Linked DNA regions of Cricetulus griseus. The protein of the gene in region 1 binds, or shares a complex with, the protein of each later gene. Links are inferred from orthologs where the notes say so. Each region holds a gene or a part of one and is shown in the gene's direction. Other genes may lie near its edges.

Region 1 (17,177 bases):
GACCTTTGCAGAAAAATGGATGGAACTGTAAATTGTGTAAAGTAAAATAAGCAAGACTAAGAAAGACAAATACTACAGTAACATGAATAAATAGAAGAACCAGAGACTGATATTGGGGTTCAAACTTCAAGCTGAATATCAGCAAAGCACAGCAGCTGGCCACTAGCTTCTTACCTCTACCTAGGCTGAATGGGCTGATTCTGTCTCCAGGAGCTCTCACTAAGCCTCAGACTTTAACTTCACCTCAGTGTGGCTGGAGAATGAATGCCTCATACTGAATACTGAAGACTCTTCTTCTATCTTTTATACCCTCCTAGTGCTGTGATTAAAAGCATGTGATCTATTTTCTCTTTTAGACTGATTCAATCTCATGTAAACTGGGTGACCCTGAATTGAGAGATCCTTTTTCCTCTTAATCCTTAATCCCACCACCTCCTAGCTTCTGGCTGCTGGAATTAAAGGCGTGTGCCTGGCTTGTGGCTGACTTTGCTTTCTGAATCCTCATGCAATCTTTAATAAAGCATAAATAATATATCACCACAGACTATATGTAAATGTATATGTATATGTATATGTATATGTATATGTATATATATGTGTGTGTGTGTGTGTGTGTGTGTGTGTGTGTCTGTGTGTGTGTGTGTCTGTGTGTGTGTGTCTGTGTGGTGTTTGTGGGAGAGAGAGAGAATGAAAGTAGGAAGCAGATCATAGAGGGGAGGAAGAGATCTTAAGGTAGGTGATGGAAATAGAGTCATGGATGCATGTGACAGTAAAAAGACACTGTACGCCTAAACGTGTTAAAATAATGTACAGAAACAATAAATGAGTTTTTGTAAAAATTTTGTTTAAGAAAGAACACCTTTGATGAGTGTATCACAGGCCATTCAGTTGAAACATTATTGTGTTCAAGCCTGTTGCAGTGGTCCATTCTTGTAATCTTTGCGCTGAGAAGGTGGAAGCAGGATGACCAAGTGTTTAAGGGCAATCTTGACTACATAGTGGGTTCCAGGTCAGCCTATCTCAAATAATATTTAAAGCATTGATTATTTTGAGTGCTACCAAGATCATCACTAGGATTATTTGTAAGAAATGGGAATAAATGTATAATTAAATACAACTCACCCCTTTCTTTAAAAATCAAACATAAAACCCACACTGTGCTTCGAATTGAGTCAAGTTCCAGACTTGACTCAGGTGAGTTTTCTCATTCCTGTGCCTTTGGGTTTCTCCAGAATAGAAACTAGGATGGTGAGTTGAGCAATCTTGATGCTCATTCTAGATAAGAACCCCATGATAAACATCATTAATAAAGATTGAACTCTGGATCCTCCTGCCTTAACCTCTTGGTATTGTAACTGTGTGTGTGTGTGTGTGTGTGTGTGTGTGTGTGTGTGTGTGTGTGTGTGTGTGTGAGTAAATGAAACCATACGGTGAATACAGAATACCATTAAATTGGGCATCTGCCTGCTTTCTGAGAGGATCCTCCTCTTGCCCAAAGAGGCAGGTTCGTATCAGTGCAAAGTAGAACACACACACACATTTCTCAAAGTTCTCTATTTTCCTAGCAAGCAGCATTACTTTTGTCATTCTGTCAGTAAAGTGTTTTGAAGCTTCACCTGTCATCATTTCCACTTAAAATGGCTGGGTAGTCAACATAGATGCGTTCCTGAGGAAGATTGAATTTTGAATTTTGACTGCATTATATTCTATGGAAAACTTGGATGAATTTTCCACATTAACTTCCTAAGTCTGATCTTTGAGGGAAACATTCTTCCATAATGAAATGATTCAAGACAGACACTGAACATACTGTAAAAATACAAAAGAGTGAAAAAAAACCCTCTTGTTTATTCTTTTGGCACTCTGAGGCTAGGCAGTGCATATTGCCATTTGGGGTATTTTTTATGTGTGAGAGGAATGACACACATTGCCTGTGTTCATGGCTGTGTGTATGTTTGTGTGTGGGTGCATGTGCTTGCATGTGGAAGCTAGTATTTGACAAGCAGTGTCTTCCTCTATTGCCCCTATTGTCTTCCACCTTTTTTGTTTGTTTGTTTGTTTGTGTTTTTTGTTTTTGTTTTTCTGTGTAACATCCCTAGCTGTCCTGGAACTAGCTCTGCAGACGAGGCTGGCCTCGAACTCACAGAGATCCACCTGCCTCTGCCTCTGGAATGCTGGCATTAAAAGCATTAGCCACCACTGCCCCACCATCCACCTTATTTTTTAAGATATTGTGTCTCAATGAGCCTAAGACTCACAGATTGGATAAAGATTGTACAAGACCAATTGGATAGCAAGCCCCAGGGATCCTTCTGTCCCCACCTCCCCAGTGCAGCAATGGCCTGTACAGTTTTCCATGGCATTGGATATAGGTGCTGGAGATCCAAACTCAGATCTCCATGCTTGTCTAGGAAGTATTTTAATAGCTGAGCCATGTTTCTGACTCTGCCTTTAGTAGATGTTTACACATTTGTCTTCTACATCCGAGACATTGATATTATGAGCATTCTTCATGTACCAGATAAATGTCTGTGCTTTGCCAAAATGAAGTCTTCAAGATACAAACTAGACCAGAAAGGAGTTACTGAATATTGAATATTTTCTAAATGTGTTGTTAGGGAAGATCGTATGAGATCTAGCCTGGGGCTTCCACCCTGTTCCAAGAGTGATACTCTGGTAAGCATCAGGTATTTATTTTGCCTCTGAAATGGAATGACGTTCATTTATTTTAACAGCTTAGTGCTTCATTTCCTTTTTAATATAAAGATGAATTTATAAACATGTATCTGAGATGATTGTATGAAAGTTACAGTATAAAAGTTTCCTTAATCTGGAGTGAAGAGACACTTCACTAACCTGGTAAGTTAATGAGAGTGAAAATAGCTTTGGAGTTTCTGACTAAGTATGTTTTGTCTGCAACCATTCTTCCTCAATTTCCTCTTTCATGATTACAGGAAATTCTCTTGGCTTAATTCAGTCATTTTACATACGGATCAAATATTAATTCACTGGTCTATTTTATTTTCTACTGTCCATCTTCAGTACTTTCCTACCTTAATAATGGAAATGGTAAAAAGTAGTAAAAAGTAGATTTTCCTTACTTTAAATTTATACTTACAAAACATCTAGGAGAAGACTAGCCAATTCCTGCCAGCCGTTAAAGACAATTTAAAACAAAAGCAATGACAAAGGGAAAATACTAACCACAGAGTTATGCTTTCCCAGGTCATGTGATATCAAACCCGCTTTCTTAAAATTTGAAAGCACAAGATATGTTTATTCATCATCATGACATAATTTAGAGTTATGTCATACAGTAAAAAAAAGATGTTTCCCTTTGTTTTCCAATTCCTGACATGTTACTTTTTGAGATTCTGGGACAATAAGTCAGTACCACAGGGATTCTCAGAGTTTTTAAAATTATAACATTTTAAACACATTTCTAACAGCCTCTAAAGTCATAATATGGACATCTAAAATTCTCATTTTATAGAAAAAACAGACAAAATTCACTAGTACTAAAAAGAACTACATCTCACAGGGATGTTTGTTGAAACACACAATTTCAATTTCAGATTTTCCAGTAAGGTAACAGGCCCTCATGGAATCACACATGGGCACTGCCCATTAAGGACTAACAGGAAATATTTCAGAATATTTTTGTGGAAAATCTTAACACTTTAAAATAGGAAACTATGTAGATTTTATATGCCAGAACCACTGAATTGGAATGGAGGAAGTGTAATTCATTAATTGTGAAGGGCAGACAATTGGATGTTGCAAAGCCAGGCTGGAGAGGTGGCTCAGAGACTTAGAGCACTCGCTGCTCTTGCGGAGGATTTGGGCTGGTTCTCAGTTCCCACACTGCAGCTCACAGCCATAGTCTCAGTTCCCAGGGATCTGAGGTCCTTTTCAGACTTCTGTTGTCATTGCACCTGCATGCGGTACTCATATATATCTACACACACACACACACACACACACACACACACACACACACACACACACGAGTCTGTGAGTCTGTTGTCTATCTATCTATCTACTCATGCACAGAAAAAATTAAACAAATAATTTGAAAATATTATAAAAAGTTTTTTTTGTGAAGCCTTTGCTTTTTGGAGATCATTTCACTATGTATTCCAGGTTAGTTCAGAACAAAAGGTCCTTGCTCCTTATCTCCCAACTGCTGGGATTAAAAGCATGTACCTGAATTTAAAAAGTATTTTAAATTATGTTTTATCCATTTTATGATTTACATTTGTGAAGAACACAATCCCTTTCCTCTTAAAATCTTCTCCTTCTGGCATTAGAAATGCACAGTGTACTAATGAGTATATAAAGAACATTCATTCTCTTAGTGCCTGGGTTTTAATAAAGACTGCTTTAGCCTAAGGTCCAACAATAACTTACCACCATTTTGAGCCAACGACTATGAGGATACATTTCAGCTAATATCAGGCATGACACTAATTCAGTATTAAGTGCTAAGCACATTAGCAATTTCAATGTAGAGCACTATGGCTTTCCAAGTCACTGAAGGAAGGTTTTTTTTTTTTTTTTTATCAATGCCTTTTCTTTTCTTTTCTTTTCTCTTCTCTTCTTCTCTTTTCCATTCAGAACTTACTATTTGAAGTAACATGACTTTAAAACAGTCCAACCATTAGAATTGTTGCTTATATATATTTAAATATATACTTAGAATTTTATTTCAATTTTAAATTAATTTTATTTTATGCCAGTGGGTGTTTTGCCTGAATGTGTGTATACTGTTTACATGCCTGGTACCCATGGAGGATAGAAGGCCTCAGATCATTCCAAGCTACTGTGTGGGTGCTGAAAACTGAACCCATGTCCCCTAGAAGAACACCCACTGAATTTAACCTCTGAGTCATCTCCCTAACCCCAATGTAGACTCTTTATAATCAAATATCCCTCCCCACTGCAATTATAAGACTAATTTAATTCTATGCGTGAAGAAAAGAGTAAGTGCTCGAATTATTGTGCTTAATTCATAGGAAACGAATGTTAATTGTTTCCATAAAAGCAATAAACCAAAAGAGACACCTATATAGGGCAGCTCACAACCACCTTAAAGTCCAGCCTCAGGGGATAGGGCAGCTTCTTCTGACCACCGAAAATCTCTGCATTCATATGTGCATACTGACAGTCACACACACAAATGAACATAATTTTTAAAATTTTCCATGGATGCAGAGTAAAAATAATTCATCTCTTGAAAAATAATTTCAGGACCTTGGTATTTCAAATAAAATTTATTTCCAGCATTGGTTAAGAACAATACCCAAACAAATCAAAACTTTATCACTTACAATCTAAAAAACCAGCTAAAAACATGCTTGAACAAATTAGCTAAAACATTTGAGGGCCAGGAGGATGTTTTAGTGGGTAAAGGCATGTGCTAACCCAAGGAACTGAGTTCAAACCCTCAGGACTCCTGTAGTGGAAGGAAAGGAATAACACCTGTGAGTTGTCTGTCACTTGTCCATCACATGTTCACCATGGTATGTGCAATCCCTCAAAAAATCAATGTATAATATTTATCACCATCTTATTAATTACAGAGAAAATCCAAGAATTCTAAGTTATGCAAAAGGTATAAAGGTCTTGGGAGAAATTCAATATTCTCTGTAATAAAGGCAAATGTAACAATATATTTTGTGCCTTGAGCCCCTTTCAAAGTTTAAGCCATTTGAAATCGGCAGCTCTTTTCAACCATTCACTTTCTTTGTGTTTCTTGCAGCAGATCCCTGATTCTTAAAGTCAGATCCATCATGGAACACTTTTTGAAATTTGAGCATTTTATTTCAAATGAGACTGTGACTGGCATTCATGCTGCTATAGTTTGTGGGCTTTCTGTTACTTAAGAAAAGTATACAGTTTAGTATTGCAAAACTTCACTTTGATAAAAATCCTGATTATTTATGGCTTAAGTGCTGTTTAAACATACTTTTTGTGAGGTAGGAAACAATTTACTACTTTTTCTTCCCTTCTTTCCCTTGTAGACGAGGTTTTTACAAGCAAGGCAATATGTCCCCTCTCTTGTGTGGTGAGACATTAAGGAACCTCATTTAAGCCTCAAGAAAGACCGTAAACAAAGTTTTCTTGTCCATTGCTTCTTATACATCTTTAGACATAAACTCCTGGCTTTATAGACCCCCAAATAAATCATAAGAAAAAATAGCATGAAACATTTTCCCAGGGAAGTAGAACATTCCCACAGGTTAACTAAAATTCTGGACTTTTGCCTGGGAAGAGGAGATTGTCCCAGAAGAATGCTGCCCAAGGATGCCATCAGTCATACAAAGTCACAGTACTTCCGCTCAGTTGACTTCTAAGGAAAACAGCAGTAATTCAGAACTCTTATTTACTGTTATCTTTTGAAAATGTTTCATGACCTGTGCACTTTTTTAGATTACATTCTGAAGCAAATGTCCTCCACAGCTTCCTGTTGGAAAGAATGAACATGACATCATCTATCGAGAGAATGAAATCACAGTCTTTGTGGAAAGTGTGTAGGGTTGCATATCCCTTTCATTTGCACCTCTAATTACCAAGAAGCAGACTTGAAATTAGGAAAGGAAGGAAGGAAGGAAGGAAGGAAGGAAGGACAGAAGAAAAGTAAAGAAAAGAAAAAGCTTGTTGATATGCCAGTGGCTAGGCTTTCTTTTTCCTATTTTGTAAAGCTCAGATACAGAAAGCTGTGTGCTTAAGGGAATAAATGAGCAATTTTATTTTTTTGAGATAGATTTGTGTCCTTGGCTAATCTGAGATTCCAGGCAGTAGTTGTGTACTGCAATTTAGTTTTAATGTATTTTCCATCTCTTTTGTTTAAGTGTTAAAGGGTGGACAGATAGAACACTGAGATTATAACACAGAGTGTGGAAGAACAGTAAATTAAAGCTCTCAATTAAAAAAAAATATAAATTTGGAAGAACCGATGAAGGTTTAATTAACTATTAGGCACTTATGTAAGCATCAAATAAATATTTTGGGCGTTCTAAATAAGTGTTCCCAAGATGAGAAACCAACTCTTGGACTGTTAGATTGCCCCCTCCTTGCCAGAATTCTAGCCCCACACTGAGATGTCTTGCTGGTGAAGAGGTGGTGGGGAGAGACAAAGAGGGGGAACGGAGAGAGAGAGAGAGAGAGAGAGAGAGAGAGAGAGAGAGAGAGAGAGAGAGAGAGAGAGAGAGAGAGAGAGAGAGGTGGTACAGTGCAATTAAGGCTCCTGCAGTTTTCCCATCAGTTTTTGATTTTACCTCTTCTCCAAAGTTGGCAAAGATCCCCCATTAACTGCGGGCTGTCACTGAAGTAGCATTTAAAAGATGTGGTTCCCTTTCTGTAAGAATGTTTTGGAACTCCGCTGTGATTTTTAAGCCCCCACCCACTTCACCAAATCCAGCAAATGGAAGAAGCCAGGCCTCCAGTGCACCGCTCTGCAACTGATGCTAGCACAAATGGCAGGGACCAGGGAGCAGCTAAGAGGCCTTCTCTGGCCCAAATTCGTTTGGGGTTTGGCCTTTGCCCCTAGAAGAATTCATTGATCTGAGTTTGACCAGTGCAGAAAAGGGGAGACTGGGAGAGTGGGAGGCTTGTTTGGCTGAAGTCAGATACCCCACCCCTAACCTTCCCCAAAGGCTACTACTAGATGTCTGGGGAATCCCTCCCTCACCTTCGGAGAGGCAAGTTTCTTTACAAGCGTTAGACACCTGTATGAGGCGCTCCCGGTGGGAAAGGTGGCTTGAGGGACGCCAGAGCTCAGTTACACCGCTTTCCTCTGTGAGGCTGCGGTCACAATCCCTCCAGAAGTCAGAGCTGTTAGCATACACAGTCCCCGCTGCCTTTCTTGGTCGACAGGAACCTAGCCCCACATTCTGGAGCCGGAGCCCGCCGACGCCTCTCCAGTTTGCTCTGGGTCCTCTCCCTCCCACCTCTCCACCTCCAAAGTAGCGCTCCAGCCTCGCTCCGCCCGCACAGCCCCAGCGCCCCCGAGCTTTATCAGGCTCCCCACACACATCGCTGGCTTCCTTTGGCACCCGGCGCTGGTGACCCTCGCTGAGCAGCCGCCTCCTCCAAGCCCAGGCCCCCTCCTCCCGCCCGCGGGTCACTGCGCCTCCAGGCTCTGCTCCCCCAGGCACCGCGGCGCCCACCGCCTTTCAGGTTCATCTGGGCTGGACCTGTTTTGCTCATCCCTAAACCCGGAGAAGTGGAATCTGCACACTGAAACTCTCGGTGGCTGGAGCGGCAGACTGGGCATGCTCAGAAGCCAGGTTTGGCTTTGGTCTCAAGTCGAAGGAAGCTTTTGCACTCGCGAGGCAGCGGCGACTTTAGGGAAAGTTGATCCGAGAGGGGAGGAAGCCCCAAGACGCGGAGCAGCGGCAGGAAGGAGCCCCCGGCAGCCCGGAGGAGCATGGGCACCCTGCGGGATTTACAGTATGCGCTCCAGGAGAAGATCGAGGAGCTGAGGCAGCGGGATGCTCTCATCGATGAGCTGGAGCTGGAGTTGGATCAGAAGGACGAACTGATCCAGAAGCTGCAGAACGAACTGGACAAGTACCGCTCGGTGATCCGGCCCGCCACCCAGCAGGCGCAGAAGCAGAGCGCCAGCACCTTGCAGGGTGAACCGCGCACCAAGCGCCAGGCGATCTCCGCGGAGCCCACCGCCTTCGACATCCAGGATCTCAGCCACGTGACCCTGCCCTTCTACCCCAAGAGCCCACAGTAAGCAGGGTTACTCGCCTGGGTCCATGTGGCGCCCTGGCGGTGGGGAGCTGCGGGTCTCTGTATTGTCTGTCGGCCCCTGCCCCTCCCGCTTGCCATGTCTGTCCTCATCCTCAGAAATGTCTCATTTTCACGGCACTTCTTGAGGGGCTGTGCACGTTTCTCAGGGCCAGACTCCCTGCACATCCGTTGCCTTCGTGTCTTTGTCAGATGCCAAGGTATTTTTAAAATATACATATACGTTCATATATGCCACCTACTGTACATAGAGTTTGGACGCGCCCCAGGTGTGTGTCTGACGGTGTGTGTGAGTGACTGTTGAATGGAGGAATCAGAACCCCGTCTTTCCCAAAGCCCCAGCCAACCTGGCCAGCCGGAAAATCCTAACTGCAGGCTCATCAGACTGAAATGAAATGCGTTGATATTACCCTGACTTTCCACGCTCTTGTGGCTCTCCTGGATTTTTCTACATGCCGCCGGCACTTCAGGCTGGTACTGTTCAAACCTGATGTTCTCTCACCATCAAAGTGTAAAAGAATAAGTCAATATACATATAAAACAGAAGATTTTTTAAAAATTTCCTGAGTTGGATGACATTTACAATCCATAAATGGAAGCCTAGTCTGTTGATTCTTAAAAATGTTTTCATAATATCTGAGAGAGAATATGATTTGTTTTTCTAAAAGAATTCTCACATGATTCCTAATGAACATTTCCCTATAGGGCTCATGTATTTTCAGGGCCAGTGTGGTCAAGCCCACGTTATTTCCCCTGCTGCGCCTCACACTCAGGTCTAAAGCCACTCTGCCGCTGTTCTAGCATGTTACAGAGCAGTGTAGTTCTGATGTCAGTAGGATTCATAACTTGGATGGGAACACTGAATGAAACTTGTTACACAACACTCAACCCCAGAGTCCATATGGAGAGCGAGCATCAGGGACAGGACGGCAGCAGAACCAGAACACCATCTGAATGGCATTTTAATTAATAGTAATGACATAATTGGTAAAGCCGAGGATTCTGTTGTCCTGCTCTTAACTACATAACACGGCTGGATGACACGTGTTACATAATAACAGAAGGCCCCCGAGAAACCTTTACTTCCTAAACACAAGGAATTCATAAGAGGAGATAGTGAAGACTTGGTTATCTCCATTTGTATTTCTTGGATGGGAGGGGTCATGAGTATATACTACGTACACTTTTTTGAAAACTTACAAGCCCAATCTATACATGTTGGCTCCCATGAATCATTTGCAGGCTTAGCTGATGGAGTTTGAATTCTGTGGAGTACAGGAGAGTTGACACAGATAATATAAATATTTCTGAAATCCCAACCTTACCAAGTTGCCATCATAGATCAGCTGATTTCAATTTGTCTTAGAAACTGAGTGATCTGAATCCATTGGAGTTTCCTTTGGTAAATTAATTTGCAGTCGCTGGCATGTTCGCCTGTTTCAGCTAACAAGGTACATGGCCATCTCTCCTGGGCCAAGTTTTGCATAATGAAAATGTAACTCAGAGACAGCGCTTTGTATCTTTAAACAGTCTGTAGGATTGTCATTTTAGTATCTGCTGGAGTTTGGAGTTACCAAGAACAAACTGCTCTTATAAAAAGACTATTTTTAATAGACTTTTAGACAGAGTATGATCAATCCAGCTGATAACTCCACTTAAGCATTCTATTTGAGAAAGTCTAAAGAAATCCAGGCAGCAGGAATGAACTGTAGAATGTGGTATGTTTAGAAGACTCTCGGTGTTTGACACAGGGCACTGGTGTTTTTGTAAAATTCCACAGTAGACAATAACATTAGAAAAGCACATTCTTTGTAGTATCCCTGCAGGACAAAGATTGTGTATGTTGAACATGTTTTACACTCTGGTCCTTATTTGATAACTTTCAGGACCCCATTGTTAAGGTGGTATTGCCATGTGAGTTTTCTAATTCTGAAGGATTATACTGAAGAAAAATGATAAAATGTCTTCCAAGTTTAAATAATTTTGGAAAAACATCTGTTCTTTTTTTTCACACTTACATAAAGGAAACCGAAATAAAATTGCCTTGAGTGGTAGTGTACCTTTCTTAGGGGAAAAGAAGTGTATTGTATGCAAAATAGTTATTATCCTATGCCATTTGAGTGACCGTACAAGACAACTCTACATAGAAGTACAAAAAATGTGACACCCTAAAACATTTTTTTGCATTTTATCGTATATTGTTTGATTCTTTTTATTATTCAGACTTACTGTCAACAAGTGTTTACTTCTTTAATCTTTAGTGCAACTTAAATTTAATCACTTTCCTAAAGATTAAGTTAAGGTTGAAGGGAAACTATCTAAGTAGACTGGAATTTATTTCAGCTACCACTTTCCTCTTTGTTTTTGGTTATCTTTCCAGTAGGTGTAGTTAATGACCAACTGATGAACGGAACATATCCTCTAGTGTTCCCTTACTGAGGCTGACTTTTGAGAATTACAGTATTTTAAAACTTCCTTTTTTATTTTAGTAACCATTGATCATTTGAGGATAAAAAAGCAGTACAAAATTTAAAGTAGCCTCATAACTTTTTAGCATCTTAACAGTTTTTTCTTGGGATTTTTCTCTCTAATGTGAGAATTGGAAGAAAGCTTCTGTTGGATTCCACCACAGGGGAGGACATTTCTGCTATACCTGTGAGGTGTAGTGGGGGCATTGGTCTTTCACAATCTGTATAGATGTCACCTTTAAACCCTTCTTAGGTTATTTATGAATGTGAGGGAAGAATTGATGTAGCAAATTGGAATCTGTATTATCCTGCTGCCAATGAACTACTTAAAAATGTAAAAAGCACTTGATTCTATGTTCCAAAATACATTGAGCAAAAGCTCCCTAACAGTGAAACAAACAAACAAACAAACCTCAGACATCCAGTCTGTGAGATCAGACAACCTGATGGGTCACTTGAACTTCTAAAATAATTTTATTTCATGGCATTTCATTCCTACAGATGCACTCACTGTTCCCAAGTCTTTTCTGTTTTGCTGTCACAGCCTTCTATGTCATTTTAGTTGGACTACCTCAACTTGAGTTCCTATCAAAACTTGTTAATGTCTGTGTGTTTTTGTAAAGCTATTGCCTTTACCCCCGAGGTGGCTTCACTTCAGAGAATGAAGTGTTTTGTTCTGTTTCACTTTGTGATTGTGAAATACTTTGGAAGAATTGGAGATAGAAGCAAAATGTATTTTTTCCTATTTTTAGGTAGGAGTTAAAATTTAAAAGATCCCATGTGATCTCCTAAACCTTGATATTATATCCCAAGAGAAACAGTGTCTCCCTAAACACTATGTGTTTAATTCTGAAGGAAGTCATGGAAATCATGGGATTCTAGTATGATTATATACAGCTTAATATTAAAACATAGACTTCTGTGAAGGTACTAAATTTCTAATAAGCCTTGCAAGTCAGCTCAAAATCTTTCTGTGAAACCTTCCATGTGGAAATTCTTGTAAGGTGCATACGCCTTGCCATTACAGAGTTAGCAAAGGACTCAACAATACTATACAAGTAAACCTTTAGACACCTAAGTAAGGTGGAAGACAGAGTAGTCCACTGAAACACATGGTGTGTGCTGTGGCTCCTATTGAAGTGCATGGTATCAGGAACTCCACTGAGGTACAGGGTCTTGTGCTGGTGAGACTGCCATGATTTAAGCACGGCATGATGTGAAGGGAGGGGTAAGGGATGGGGAGATGTGGAGATGTTACAACTCAAGCCGTCAGCAGCGAGAGGCTTTCCTGTAGCGCCATGAATGGAACCAAAGCTCAGTTTCTATGATTTTATAGAGTGGATCAAGAGGAACTTAGGCTTGCTTTTAGAATGATCAAGAACCGTGTGTGTGTGTGTGTGTGTGTGTGTGTGTGTGTGTGTGTGTGTGTGTGTGTGTTTCACCAGGGCTAGTTAGTGCTGAAACTCTGAATATCAGACTGTGGTTCTAACTTTCCACCATAACTATATTAACTAGGTTAAAATATTTAACCTTAACCAAAAAGCAGATGGTGAAGACTCTTAAGGAAACCAAGGTCCACTCTTAAAGAAATCAAATACCTTTCTGAGTACCACTGAAAGTAGTTTACTTATATGCCATAATCCAACTCGGCAGATTCCTCACATACCTGGACAGACTGATATGGATGAGAATGCAATCTTGTTAGTTATTGAAACCCATCTCCCCTGCTTCTGTGGGGGAGCTAAATTCTGACCCAAGGTTATTAGAATAGTTTCCAATTAAGTTTGAGCATTAATTTGACATTACAGACTATGCAGTGGAAGAAAGTTGTGCAAAGCCTTCATAATATTATATGGGATCATGATGCTAAATATCCTGTTAGGGTGTTTGGAAGTGCAGTCAAGTTGCTTGCCCCTAAAATGGGATGAATAATGAAAATACTGACAAGCCTTAAATAGAGTAGATCTAGGGACTGCCTGGGAATATAAACAGCCATCTTCCTTGCTCTACTTGGCTGCATTTCCAAGCCCTCATCATTTAGTGTTTCATTAAAGAGTTGGTTTGGATTTTTGCTAGGAAATGGTAGAATGAGACATGCCTTGTTTCCATTGTTGCTGTTTGCAGGTTATAAGGCATATGGGCACATTTTTTTATCCTGTCTGCCTAGCAATGGAGGGTCTCCATGGTATCCTAGCAACCATATTTGAACACCAGGCTGCTGCTCTTTCTGCTATCTCTACCATAGGTGCTGCTGCCCATCCCAAGGAACTGGAATTGCGGCTAGCATCCCAGACCTTCTGACTTGAACCTGCCTGGCACTGGGAACACAAGACAATGTGACAAACACTCACATGCTGAAAGCAGCACTTACCAGCACGCTCAACAGCTTATTATGCAATCACATCTGTGGCATTTCGAATCCTAATCTGAATAGTTGGGCTGGTTTTCTTTGCCACCCCTCCTGTGACAGTCTCTCTACTTCTTCACACACAGCTTTCTGACACCACCTCTAGTCCCTCCTACCATCCTTTGTAGTGAATACCTTCCTTGCTGTCTCCTTAAGGATTTTTTTGTTTTGTTTTTGAGAATTAAATCTGTACAGCCTGCTCGAACTCTCTAAGTACAGTTTTGTTGGTAAGATCAAGGAAAGCTCTCCTTCCCCAACTGACATTTAAATATAAACAATGGCTCAAAAACTCCAGCTACACAAGGCAGATGTTTAACACAATGTGGGACTAAGCATAGTGCACTCTAAGAAGTGTCTTGTTTGGGAGTGGAATTTTATGATCCCAGTTATTCATACAAATGAGCAGGAGAGTAGAGTAGGGAGATGACATTTTGGGATGTGGAGTACTGTTGAGGCTATGTTATATTTTCCAGAAGTTTGAAAGTAGCAATATTCTTTCTGGACATATAAATATGCCCCAATGCTGGAGCAGAGTTTGCAAGACAGGTAAGTCTTTGTGTGTGCAAAAACTGGCAAGGACCACATCTTGAAGCTTGCCTGCCTTGAGAAGCTCAACTTAGATATTGTCACAAAATAATGCAGGTGTTTCTCTTCATGCCAGTGTCTTGTTTTCAATGCTTTGTATTTCCCCCTTGAAGCATCACTTAATCTAATATCAGGGAGGGTTTGGTGGTTTGTCTGCAGGCCTCAGTGAGGGGAGGAAAGGGCAGTATGTCAGCATGTAACTGTTCTGAAAGCAGGTCAAGAATGATACTGCCATCATCATCATCACCGCCACCACCACCACCACCCTGCTAATTTTCATGGGACACTAACTCTGTGGCAGATATCTTTCCCTTGCTTAACCTGCATCATGACTTTTTTCATTGTGAGTGTGTGTGTGTGAGAGAGTCTGTGAGTGTTGAATGAATGTAATGAATGTATGTGCACATTGTGTGAGGGTGTGCTTACAGCATAGGCATGTATGGAAGCCAGTTGTTGATGCTGTGTCTTCCTTAATTGTTATTCCTCATTGCTGCTGCCACTACTACTATTATATTACTACTATTATTAATTGAAACAGAGTCAATCAAGGAGCCTGTGGCTCACTGTTGGGGCTAATCTATTTGTCTCTCCTACTACTACTGTAGTTACAGGGACAGTGCCGCACCTGGCTTTTAAGTGGATGCTACAATTCAAACTTAAGCCCTTATGCTTTCCCAGCACATGCTTTATTCACCGAGGAACCTTCCCCTCCCTTGCATTGTGGATTTCAATATCATTGTAAGGAATATTCTAGATTATTCTCATTTTCCACCCTGAGTAACGGAACACCCAGACTCCTAGAAAGAAAGGCCCATGTTCAAAGGGCATACTCATTGTAAAAAACTTAAGCCAGAATTTGAGCTGCTGGAGCCTTTTTTAGAACCACTAGGTTCTTACACAGCCCCAAAGCCTGCAGGGATTGGATAAATGCAGAACCTATGAATAACATATGGGCTGTTCTGGGGAAAGTGTCTGTGTACCCATAATCAGACAGAAAGCAGAAAAACCTTCGGAGAAGTTGAAGAAATTAGGTAGGACTTTTCCTCAAACATGACTGCACATTAGAATCACCTTTAAAAAATCTCATCCCCTAAGTTTTACCACCAACGAATTTTTTTTTGAGACAGGGTTTTCTCTCTTTTGGAGCCTATCCTGGCACTCGCTCTGGAGACCAGGCTGGCCTCAAACTCACAGAGATCTGGCTGCTTCTGCCTCCCAAGTGCTGGGATTAAAGGGGTGCGCTACCAACGCCTGGCTACCACCAATGAATTAAAACCAGTCTTTCAGATGATTCCTATGGTAGGTCCAATGTGAAACGAAACTTGGGAGCCACTGTGATGAGAAGATGACAGGACATGGTGTGTGTGTGTGTGTGTGTGTGTGTGTGTGTGTGTGTGTGTGTGTGTGTGTCCAAATAGAGGACCAAGATAAGTGTAAAGAGTTGAATTAAAATCTTTTTTTTTTTTTTTTTTCTGAGACATGGTTTCTCTGCGTAGCTTTGCAGCTTATCTGGCACTCGCTCTGGAGACTAGGCTGGCCTCGAACTCACAGAGATCTACCTTCCTCTGCCTCCCAAGTGCTGGGATTAAAGGCATGTGCCACCAATGCCCGGCTATGGGCTAAAATCTTTATCAGCTTGCAAAAGCAGTGATGGGTTTTATTCTTTATTCGATTGTGATCATGTGTCTTATTGTTTATGCTCCTAAGCAAGTATGCAATGTTCCTCATGGCCCATTTTTTTTCTCTCAGCCATGGTTGTTCATTAGAAAACTGCCAAGGAATATTTTAAACATATCTTTTCTGGGTGCCACTAGCAAGATTGATTCAGTCACTCTGGGGTTGGGCTCATGGGATAGTTTAATCCAGGGATGGCTCTCAACTTCATTCCAAGTTGAGAACCTCTTCACTAGCCTACCTGGCTTCTCTCATGCTACAGATTACTTTCCATTCTTTTGGAGAGATTCTGCTCCTAGAGGGATGAGGCAACTCCAGCTGTGTGTCACCCATCACAGCTGGACTGTCCCTTTCACTCTGATTCTGGGATTGCCTACTATAGTTCTGGCCACATAAAAGCCTCAGCAGCTCCATTCAACTGGTAAGCAGTTTCCTCCTTCCAGCCATCCACAAGTCTGGCCAGCCACTGGATATATATTAGGGTCAGTCATCACCCCAAGTTTGATTTCCACTTTTGCTGGGGGCAGCGGCCTTGCCAACAGGAGAGACTGTTTCCTTGAATCCCAGCTGATGCTATGAAATTTGAAATTGATGGAGGTGAAACAAAGACAAGTCCCACTTGGAAGAGCAGGGCAGGGCTTGTAGCATTTCTCTGTCTGGTATGAGATGCCTCTGCAGCCAGCTAGCTTTTTTTTCCCCTTACAGATATTTTATCCTTTTAAGGCAAACAGCTTGAGCTCCGGCTGAGAAGTACTTTCCAAGGAGGTTTCAACGAAAGCGGAGTAAGCAAATCAACCTCTCAGCCCCATTTCCAGACAGTTTGGTCTGAGAGACCAGATGTGGGCAACCTCTGGTAGAGGAGAAGTCTTAGGCACCCCAGTAGCAAGGGGTATTGTGGGATATAAAGAATCCCTATTCCCGGTGCTCTAAAGTCACCACTGTCCCTGAACAGGCTAGCTCTACATTTCTTTCTTGCTTCCAGTTTCCAGCTGAAACTCCTCAAGGTCTTGGTAATGGTCTCCAATAGATATCTCTTCACATTTGCAATTCAATCATTATCTTCTCAGGTGAGAATCAAGCAGTATTGCGCTTCATGTAAGCAATGAAAATAGCTAATATAATTGCAAATGCCTTTTGGTAAAAAACACCTCCTTACATCCAGGGTCAATGAGGAGGAGCTTCCTTGTTTCTCTTCCACTTTGCATAGATATAACAATATACTCAGTGGACTGACAGCATGTTAGAACATAGTAGGTAGGATAAGGCCACCCAGAGGCTTAGGG
Region 2 (10,492 bases), on another chromosome or scaffold:
GCCGCCTCCGCTGCAGTGCCAGCACTCTGACTTCAGAGCCTGCGGGGATTCTATAAATGGCCAAGCAGCGGCAGACCCGGGAGCCCCGGAGTGAGTCAGGGCTTACGTCAGCGCTCCCCCCCCTCCGCCCAGTGCCCTGGCCGCCAGGGGGCACCATAGTGTGCGTGCGCTGTAGTGATCGCTGCCCTGTTGTGGAAGTGGCTTCTGGCTGCGAATTAATTCAAATTCCACTCTTCTGCCTGAATTCAGGCTGTGTGACCTGGACAACTGACTACATTTCTTTATTCATTCTGTAGGACCCTCCTTAGAGGGCTGTTGTGAGGCATGGGTTGCTATTTTATCTGATGCAAGTTGATGTATTTCTTAGCCCACTGGTTCTCTATGTATTTCTTAGCCCACTCTCTCTCTCTGTCTGCCTGCCTACTCCCTTCTCTCTCTCCCTCCTGGCCAGGGTTTCACTATGTAGCTCTGGCTGGGTAGCTCTAGCTGGCCTCAAACTCAGAGACCCACCCTACTCTGCCTCCTGAGTGCTGAGATTACAGTTGTGCACACCTATAACCAATCATTCTCTTCTACTTATTTTTCTTGTTCTCTCTCTTTTTAATAATATTTCTTATTATTCTCTCTGTCTCTCTCTAATGTGTTTGACCTGAATGTCCGTGTGAGGGTTTTGGATTCCCTGGAACTTGAGCTTCCATGTGGGTGCTGGGAATTGAACCTGGGTCCTCTGGAAAAGCAGCCCATGCTCTTAACTGCTGAGCCATCTCTCCAGCCTACCTACACACCCCGACCTGGAACTCTTGATCTTCCACTTGCATCTCTTAAATGATGGGGCAGTAGGTAGATCCTCCAATGGGGACAATCTGGGTATCTGTCCCCTTTACTCTCTAGGTCCATTTGACAATGCCTTTAACTCTGCCTGTTGGTGCATGCCTGCCACACCAACACTCAGGACGCCAGTCTGGGTTACATTGCAAAGAGCAGGTGCTGGCAACTGGCACCTCATAAAGACTTGGGATGGTGTTAAAGTCACAGTGCCCAGGGCAGGACTCCACTGTAAAGAATTAGCCAACCGTCAATGTGAAGGCTGAGACACTCTGTTTGAACCTCACAGGATTAGGGACAGAGGCTGACAAAATTGTGTGACATATTTTTAGTGGGGGATCCCACACCCCTGCCTGTGTTGCTGCTTTTCCATCTGTAAAGTGCTCATGATAACAACATGTCCTGTAGGGTGCTGTGAGTATTGAGTGAGTTATATGGCCACAGTTTGAATAGGGCTTGACAGGAAAACTGTTGGCAAAGTCAGGTGGGGCAATGCATTCTTGTAATTCCAGCTACATAGGAGGTGGAGGGAGGCAAATTCCAAGTTCAACTCCAGCCTATGAACGTAGTGAGACCTTGTCCCAAACAAATTTTTTTTCTGTGTCTGTATATGCAGTGCCCTTGAAGGCTAGGCCAGGGCATCAGATACCCTGGAGCTGGAGTTACAGGAGGTTGTGAACTACCAGATATGGTAGCTGGAAACTGAATTCAGGTCCTCTGGGAGAACCATATGTACTCTTAGCCATTGCGGCATCTCTCCAAACTGAGAAGTTTGGCTGTTTCTTCATAATATATACGACATGAAAGCAGAAATGGGACCATTTGGGAAGAAGGAACCCAGATATGAAGAGCAGGGACAGAGAGGGTAGCGGTGGGAGAATATACAATGTGCCTGGGTGTGGTTGTGAGTGAATGACTATAATTTCAGTGCCTTGGAGTAAAGGAAGGAGAATCAGGAGTTCAAGGGCATCCTCAGTTACATTTCAAGTTTGTTACTAGCCTGGGACACAAGAGACTTTGTCTCACTCCCCTCCCAAAAATGTTATAATAAACATTTGTATTCCATTTAGAGAGAGAGAGAGAGAGAGAGAGAGAGAGAGAGAGAGAGAGAGAGGTGTTATACACATGTGCCCTAGCTTGCATGTGGAGGTCAGAGAACAGCTATAAGATTTCTCCTTCCATCATGGAAGTCCCAGAAATTAAACTCAGGTTGTCAGGCTTGGTGGTAAGTGCCTTTACCTGCTAGGTCATCTTCTAAGCTCTTCCATTCATTGTTCTGTATAGCAATTAGAATTGTTTTCAGTCTGCCCTTTTCTCTGGTGATGCTGGCAATTATACTAAAGTCTTGCACATGCCGGGCAAGGGATTTGCCACTGAGCTCTGTCTCAAAATAAAATTATTAATTATTATTAGCTATTTTAAGACAGGGTCTACTATGTAGCTTTCGCTGGCCAGGAACTTCCTCTGATCCACCTGCCTCTGCCTCCTGAGTGCTGAGATTAAAGGTGAGGACCTCTATGCCCTGCCAGATGTGTCTTTTATCTGTGGCCAGCAAATTGCAGGTCCTTAAATCATTATCATTAATGCACAGAGATTGATGTCATACAAGTGTCACTATCCTACACTTGACATGATGCAGTTGGAGCATTCAACCCCACGGTCCAGATGAGAGCTGTCCTAGACAGGGATGTTTACAGGTGTCCAACCAGACCAGCCTGAGCTGGCTAGAGACAGGGGAGTACTCATGGCCCAAGACCAGCTAACACAGGCCTTGGTGGCTCAGGTGACCAATGGATAAATAGTGAGAGAAGGTCTAGGATCTTTGTTTGTTTGTTTTGTTGTTGTTGTTGTTGTTTTTCAAGTTGCCCAGGCTGGTCTTGAACTCAGTATGTAGCCAAGGTCATCCTTGTACTTCTGAACATCCTGTATTTACCTCCTGGGTGCTGGGATTATGCACATGCATTACCAGCCTTGGTTTATGTGGTCCTAGGGCTTGAACCCAGGTTTTTGTGCATGTTAGGCAAGGATTCTACTAATAGACCTATGTCTTAGCTTCTACCTTTTAACATTTGTGTGTGTGTGTGTGTGTGTGTGTGTGTGTGTGTGTGTGTGTGTGTGTGTGTTTGCACATAATAGAGGTCAGAGGATAAGTTGCAGGAGTTTGCTCTCTTGTTCCACTATGTGAATCTTGGGGTTCAAACTCTGGTCATCAAGTTTGTCAGTAAACATCTTAACTCATCAGTCCATCTTGCCAGCCTCCTCCCACCCCTTTTAAACTAACTCATGTGTGGGGGAGAGAGATGGGGTCTCACTCTATAGCCCAGGCTGTGCTGGAATTCACTATGTAGCCCAGGCTGGCTTCACACTCTCAGGAGTCCTTTTGCCTCAGGTTCTCAAGTGCTGGGACTACAGGTGTGAGCCATCATACCCAATTAGAACTAGGCTTTTTGCTGCCCCAAGTCCACATGAGGGACTGGAGGGGATGGAACAGGGTACCAGATTGTTAGCAGAAGCAAAGCTTGGCTGAGGTTCTCCCTTGTGCCAGGCACTGCACTGGGCACCCTGGAGGTGACATTTTTTTTCTGATCTTTACAACATCCTAATGAGGCAAGCTCTATCACTAGCCCTTCTGTAGATATGGCAATAGAGACCTAGGGAGAAGGTTATGTGTTTAGGGTGATGTATGAAGATCAGTCAGATTGTCTCGCTGAACTACAGGGTGGGGGTGGGGGTGGGTGAAACGGGACGTGAAGTGGACACAGGTCCTGTCTTGGCATTGAAAAGGGATAGAGACCGGTCATCTTTGAGATAAGAAGACTCAGAGATGGGACATAGACAGTTGGCATGGGAGGAGGGTAGAGGAGGGTGGCCTGTGTGAGCAAGCCCCTCTCCCAGAATAAGGCAAACAGCCCCCTAGGTGGAAACAATGACACAATCAGCTTCCAATACCAAGGCCCTGACATCACGAGGTGGGGGTGGCCAAAGTGTGTGTGTGGTGCCACGCCCCTTGGCAAGCCCCTGTGGCCAATGGGACAGGCTTGGAAGAGCCTGGGGCTGGCCTCTGGAGCTTCAAAAACGTGTGAGGAGGGAAGAGGGTGCAGACGCAGGCTCAGCTGCCTTGTCCTCGTCAGTGTCACCAGAACCTCTGCTTTGCCAGAGCCCCCTGGCCAGCATGTCTTCCGCACATTTTAACCGAGGTCCTGCCTATGGCCTGTCTGCTGAAGTCAAGAACAAGGTAAGACCGGGGGACTGCCTAGCCTGGCCTCTGACAGACCCTGAGCGCCCTCCTACCTGTGTCAGGTGACTTGAGACCTGAGAAGAGAAGGAAGTTAAGGAATAGGGGCCGTTTTTTCTGTCCTTGGAACATCCCAGGGCCCTCGGTTACTTGAGGGGTGAAATGAGGGAACCCCACTATCCTTAAATTGAGGTAATCAGAGTGCTGCAAAGATTCCCACCTGCTCAGAGTCCTTGGTCAATTTTCTTGTTCCTGGGAGGGATGTAGGGGGAAGGGACAGACCCCTACCTTAAAAAAAAAAAAAAAATCAACCCTGCAGTTCATACAGCTAGAAGACACTGAGAGACATGGATGGGTAAACTGAGGCTTGGAAAGGAACAGCAAGGAGCTAGGGCCCCGGGTGAGGCAAGTGCGGACCCAAACCCCTCTCCACACCGGGATAGATCGATTTCCCGGGGCAGGGGACTGCACAGATTAGGAGAGGCAATCCCATTTGACAGAAGGGAATACTGAGGCTCTTCCTTTCCAGGGTCCCACAGCAGAAGTTGAGGGGAGCAAGGAGCAGGGATTGGGACCTGGATCAGGTTGGGGTATCCTAGGGGTTCAGGATTGGGGAAGCGTGGGGGGCGGGTGCTCCGCGGGAGACTGATGGCAGCGTCGCCCCCTCCCCCCAGCGCCGGCCCGAGGCGCAGAAGAGCCGCCGCGCCTTATAAGGCGGCCTTGGGCAGCCTGGGCCCGCGCTATATAAGGGCCGGTTTGCTTTATAAAGCCGGGCTGGTGGGGAGGGGGGCGGCAGGGCTGGGGCCAGGTAAGGGGGTGCACCCCTCCTCTCCCCATTCAGAAGAAGTGAGGCATCCCCCTTCCCCCCATCTCACTACCACCAGGGGCTGGGAGGCCAACAAGCAGGATTGCTGAAAGATCGTGAAGCGGGTCTTGCAGACAGGTTGGAGAGCGGGCGAGCCAGGAGGGAGATAAGAGCTAAGAGGCGGAGAAGGGAGCCGGTCGAATCCCACCCCGTACCCGGGAAGACCGGATCAGAGGGGTAGCTACAAAGCCAAGAGCCCCAGAGCTGGCTGGACAGGATTGTCTTCAGAGATGGGGACCCCAGACTGAGAAAAGGATAATGCACCACAGAGTTGGGGGACAACGAGAGAGACAAAGTGGGGCTGAGGACAGATTTAAGAAACACATTCAGGCAGGCATTAGGAAGGGTACAAAATAATCCCCATTTCTAACCAGGGATTCTATGTGTGATGTCCTGGGGCTCCCAGCAAACCAGCACCCAGGGGCTCCTTCTTAGGGTTCATCCCCGCCCCCAGTTTAAGGCATCTCCTCTTCCAAATGGAGAGTGGAGGGGGGGCTGGGTCAGGGGAAGCTAAGCCCCAAGTTTGGCTTGGAGGGGAAACCAAGGATCCAAGCGCCGCCCCCCCCCCCCAGCTTCAAGGATCAGGCTCTCCAGCCCCCTCTTGTCTATTCATTGGTGCCAAACCTCAGAATGCCCGGAATGGCCCCCTGGGCAGGTGCCACCTCAATCCTGGCCCTCCGCCTCCCGCTAGTCCTGCCCCCTTACCGTGGACACTAAGACAGGATTGCCTTAGTTGGGATGGATGAAGCAGGAGATTGGGCCTATCCGGGCTGAGATGGGCCCCAGAAGGCCAAAGCTCCTCTCTCTTGCCTGCTTCCTCATCACCTGTGCCTCATTCCTCCATCTCCATCTCAGCTGGCCCAGAAATATGACCATCAGCGGGAGCAGGAGCTGAGAGAGTGGATTGAGGGGGTTACAGGTCGCCGAATCGGGAACAACTTCATGGACGGCCTCAAAGATGGGATCATTCTTTGCGAGTGAGTGAGGTTCTTAGGGTGCAGACCGCGCCCCGAAGCCAGCACCCCACCTGCTCCATACTGGCCCTCAACATCACCTGATGATCCCAAACCTGGAACTGTAGTTAGACCCTGATACTTGATGCCACCCACATTCCTTCAAAGGCCTCGAAGACTCACTTGTGCCCATTACACAGGCAGAGATGACCGAGTCAGTTAGGTTTAAGACAGTACCCAAAGCCCTGAGGTGTTACCAGGCCATTACTTAGCTAGCACACGCTACAGGGCAGGCCTGTCTATGGATCTCAGTGGGCAACAGTGGCTGTTTATCTCCAGTTTTAGTGGCATTGTGGTGGTGTTACAATAGTTTATGTAGAATTCCCACTTCCCATATGTAGTTTATGTGGCTTCCCACTGCCCTCATCACTGGGGAAGATGAAAACCTTCACAGGAGCAGCCCACCATGGCTTGGCACGCACCTGGGATGCCCAGCACAGGCTGTGAGGTACAGTACAGTTCAGTGCAGAAAATATACATGAGCGAGGCTGGCTGAGTTCCACCCTCAGCACTTACACAGACAATCCACCACAGTCATTCACTTACCACTCATTAATACTGTGTTTAGAGAGCTCCTGATATACACAGGCCTTTGCTCTAGGTGTGTGGGGAGTGAACCTGGCTCCATGTGGAGCCCAGGGGGAGAAATTGGGCTGGTTCCACACCCAGCAATAGGTAATAGGTTTCATCACGAAGAAAAGGTAACCAAGTAACCAGCCAGATAATCACATTCATGCCATGAAGAAAGCCCATCGGGCTGATTGATGATTGGCTCAGTGGGTAAGGGTACTTGTCACCAGGACTGATGATGACCTGCGTTCAATTTCAGGACCCACATGTTGCAAGGAGAGAACAGACTCCTGAAAGCGGTTCATTGACTTCTACATACATGGCATGACACATGCATGTGCACATGCCATCTACATTCATGGCCATGCTCACACTCATACAAATGAAGACAACAAGGAACACTGACATTTGAACCCAGGAAAGCCAGGACACTTAGCCTGACTCTGGGGTTTCTGGCTGGTAGCTTGGGTCCCACATCCACCATAGCATGTGCTAGGTAGTACCCGCTTCCAGCTGTTACGTAGTCACCTTGCCTGAACTCACTTTCCCCACCCCCCTTCTCTTTGTTAGATTCATTAACAAGCTCCAGCCAGGCTCTGTGAAGAAGGTAAATGAGTCAACCCAAAACTGGCACCAGGTAAGTCCAGACACAAGTTACTAGTTTGTTTTCTATTTTAGTAATGAGGATTGAACCCACTGAGTGTGCTCGGCTGGAGCTCTACCCCTGAGCCACACCCCAGCCCCTCACTGGGGGACTCTAGGCAGGGGCTCTAGGTTAGAACCACGCCCAACCCTGGGCTTCTATTGCTGGTTTTGTCAAAGGCTCCCCTCACAGTCAGAGGACAACTCTGGTCTTGGCCCTCTCCTTCTGCCGTGTTTGAGGCAGGATCTCCATCTCTTTGTTGTTTTCCATTGGGTACACCCGGCTAGCCGTCTCCACCTCCCATCTCTCCCAACAGGAGTCCTGGGACTACAGACATTGGCGGCATTCTCTGACTTTTGCTTGGTTTCTAGAGATTCAAACTCAGGTCCTGATACTTTCACGTCAATTTTTTTTGTCTTTGCTTTTGTTTTGTCTTACCAAAAACATCTCCCTGACTCCTTTTTGAGACAATGTTTCATCAAGTTGCTCAGACAGGCCTTGAACTTCAATCCTACTTCTGCCTCCTGAGAGGATGGGATGGCAGGTCATTAACTTGTTTTTTAACTCTTTTTTTAAAAATATTTATTTTATTTATTATGTATACACTATTCCGCCCGCATATAAGCCTGTTTGCCAGAAGGCACCAGATCTCATTGTATATGGTTGTGAGCTAACATCTGGTTGCTGGGAATTGCACTCAGGACCTCTGGAAGAGTAGCCAGTGCTCTTAATTATTGAGATATCTCTCCAGCCCCTTGTTTATATTTATTTTTTAAAAAAGATTTCCTTTATTTGTGTGTGTGTGTGTGTGTGTGTGTGTGTGTGTGTGTGTGTGTGTACATTTGTATGGGCAAGTGCCCACAGAGCCCAGGAGGCATTGGGTCTCTAGATCCCTTGGAGCTGGAGTTACAGGAGTTTCACTCTATCCCTTACCCATCTGCCCCTCAGCCCTCCACCTCCCATCCCTGATCAGGCCTCTTCCCTTACAGCTGGAGAACATAGGTAATTTCATTAAAGCCATTACCAAGTATGGAGTGAAACCCCACGACATCTTTGAGGCCAACGACCTGTTTGAGAACACCAACCATACACAGGTTCAGTCTACTCTCCTGGCTCTGGCCAGCATGGTGAGTGTATGGGAAGAGTGGGCACGGGGCAGGTGTGGGGCTAGTCTCAGGTCAGATGGCTACAGGGACACTTAGGCCACTGAGCCTCACCAAAAGTGTTGGTAGGTGTTGGTGTGTGAGGGGAAATGAGGCCTACTGGAAGCTAGCTCATCTGTGTTCCATGTCCTTTTTGCCCCTTGCAGGCCAAGACAAAAGGAAACAAGGTCAACGTGGGAGTCAAATATGCAGAGAAACAAGAGCGGAGATTTGAGCCAGAGAAGCTGAGAGAAGGTCGGAACATCATTGGGCTACAGGTATGGACCCTTGGTCATACGGGCTGCTCTGGGCTGAGGGGAAGGCAGCCAAACCCTGGAGGCTCTGGGGGTCAGAATATTTGTATGGACTGGCTGGGAGCACAGTCAGTGTTTTCTGTTTACTAACTTGTTCCCTTTGCTCATACTCCTAAATAGTTCCTGCTTTATTTATTTACTTACTTATTTTGGTTTTTTGAGACAGGGTTTCTCTGTGGCTTTGGAGGCTGTCCTGGAACTAGCTCTTGTAGACCAGGCTGGTATCGAACGCAGAGAGATCTGCCTGCCTCTGCCTCCCGAGTGCTGGGATTAAAGGCGTGTGCCACCACCGCCGAGCTTAACAGACTCTTAAAATATTTTACTTAACTTTACTTATCTTTGTGTATGAATGCTTTGCATTCATGTATGCATGTATGCATATGAACCACATGTGTGCATAGTGCACACAGAGGCCAGGAGAGGGCATTGGATTCCCTGGAACTGGACTTATAGATGGTAGTAAGAGGCCATGTGGGTGCTGGGAATTGAACCCAGGTCCTCTGAAAGGGCAGCCAGTGCTTTTAACCCTTTATACAGATAGAGAAAGTAAGGTTTGCAGCAGGTAGCACACTGCTTTTTTTCTTCAGTGTTGGGGATGGAGTCTAGATCTCAAGTATGCTAGGCAAGCACTGTACCTTAGTTATATCTACAGCCCTCTTGTATTTTTCATTTGTATGTACGTATGTATCTATGGATGTGGGAGTGCACATCACGGTCAGAGGTCAGCGACTGTTGTCATTCCTCAGGAGCCATCCACCTTGGTTTGTTTGTTTTACTGTTTCTTCGTTTTGAGACACGGTCTCTCTTTGTAGTCCTGGCTGTCCTGGAACTCTCACTGTAGACCAGGCTGGCCTTGAATTCACAGAGATATGCCTGAAACTGCTTCCCAAGTGCTTGGATTAAAACTGTGTCCCACCATGCCAGGACACCTTGCTCTGAGACAGAGTCTCTCATTAGGTTTCTTAGTTTGTACTCTAATGTTGTGCTATAACACTACCCTAAACTTGTAGAAGGAAGGAGTTTATTTGGCTTGCATTTCCACATCACAGTGCAACTTGGAGAGAAGTCAGAGCAGGGATCAAGTAGGAACCTGTAAGAAGGAACTGGAAAGACACCATGGAGAAACACTGCTTATTGGCTTGCTTCCATGGCTTCTCAATTTTCTTATACAACCCAGGACTGCCTGCCTAGGGATGTCACTACCCACAGTGGTCTGAGACTTCTCATATCAATCAATAATCAAGATAATAACCCTTAGTCATGCCCACAAACCAATCTGATGGAGACAACTCCTCAACTCAAGTTCCCTTTTCCCAGTGACTCAAGTTTATGTCAAGTTGACAAACACTAACCAGCACAGCTGACCTCTTACTAACTTGACACACAAGCATATCACTAGTAAACCTCACCCTTTCCTTTCTTGGTTATTTCCAAAGCCCCCCCCCCTTACTGCCATACCACCCTGAATGCACATGATCTTATTTATTCCCCAAATCACAATGTAAAACATAACTTTGGCTGGGTGGTGGTGGCCCATGCATTTAATCCCAGTGCTCTGGAGGCAGAGGCAGGTGGATCTCTGTGAGACCAGCCTGGTCTACAAAATCCCTGTAACTTTAAATGTCTCATAGTCTTTAAAAAATGCAAACACTTTAAAAGTTTAAAGTCTCTTTAAAATATCCAAAGTCTCTCTCTCTCTCTCTCTCTCTCTCTCTCTCTCTCTCTCTCTCTTGCTTTTTCGAGACAGGGTTTCTCTGTATTGTTTTGGAGGCTGTCCTGGAACTCGCTCTGTACACTAGGCTGACCTCCTTCAACTCGCAGAGATCTGCCACTGCCTCCCAAGTGCTGGGATTAAAGGCGTGAGCCACCAACACCTGGCCCAAAG

Evidence for each region.
Region 2: Prkg1 (region 1) and Cnn1 share a complex: the UniProt entries of both Homo sapiens proteins name them as parts of the cGMP kinase signaling complex. The link is inferred for Cricetulus griseus from reciprocal best matches to the Homo sapiens genes PRKG1 and CNN1.

What each region holds. Positions count from the first base shown.
Region 1 is NC_048596.1:29,787,964-29,805,140, forward strand, and holds the start of Prkg1 (cGMP-dependent protein kinase 1), read left to right. Parts: upstream 1-8,431; coding exon 8,432-8,742; intron 8,743-17,177. UniProt on the Homo sapiens protein: Serine/threonine protein kinase that acts as a key mediator of the nitric oxide (NO)/cGMP signaling pathway. GMP binding activates PRKG1, which phosphorylates serines and threonines on many cellular proteins.
Region 2 is NC_048597.1:134,987,900-134,998,391, forward strand, and holds the start of Cnn1 (calponin-1), read left to right. Parts: upstream 1-3,914; 5' UTR 3,915-3,997; coding exon 3,998-4,060; intron 4,061-5,780; coding exon 5,781-5,902; intron 5,903-7,078; coding exon 7,079-7,145; intron 7,146-8,140; coding exon 8,141-8,278; intron 8,279-8,460; coding exon 8,461-8,571; intron 8,572-10,492. UniProt on the Homo sapiens protein: Thin filament-associated protein that is implicated in the regulation and modulation of smooth muscle contraction. It is capable of binding to actin, calmodulin and tropomyosin. The interaction of calponin with actin inhibits the actomyosin Mg-ATPase activity.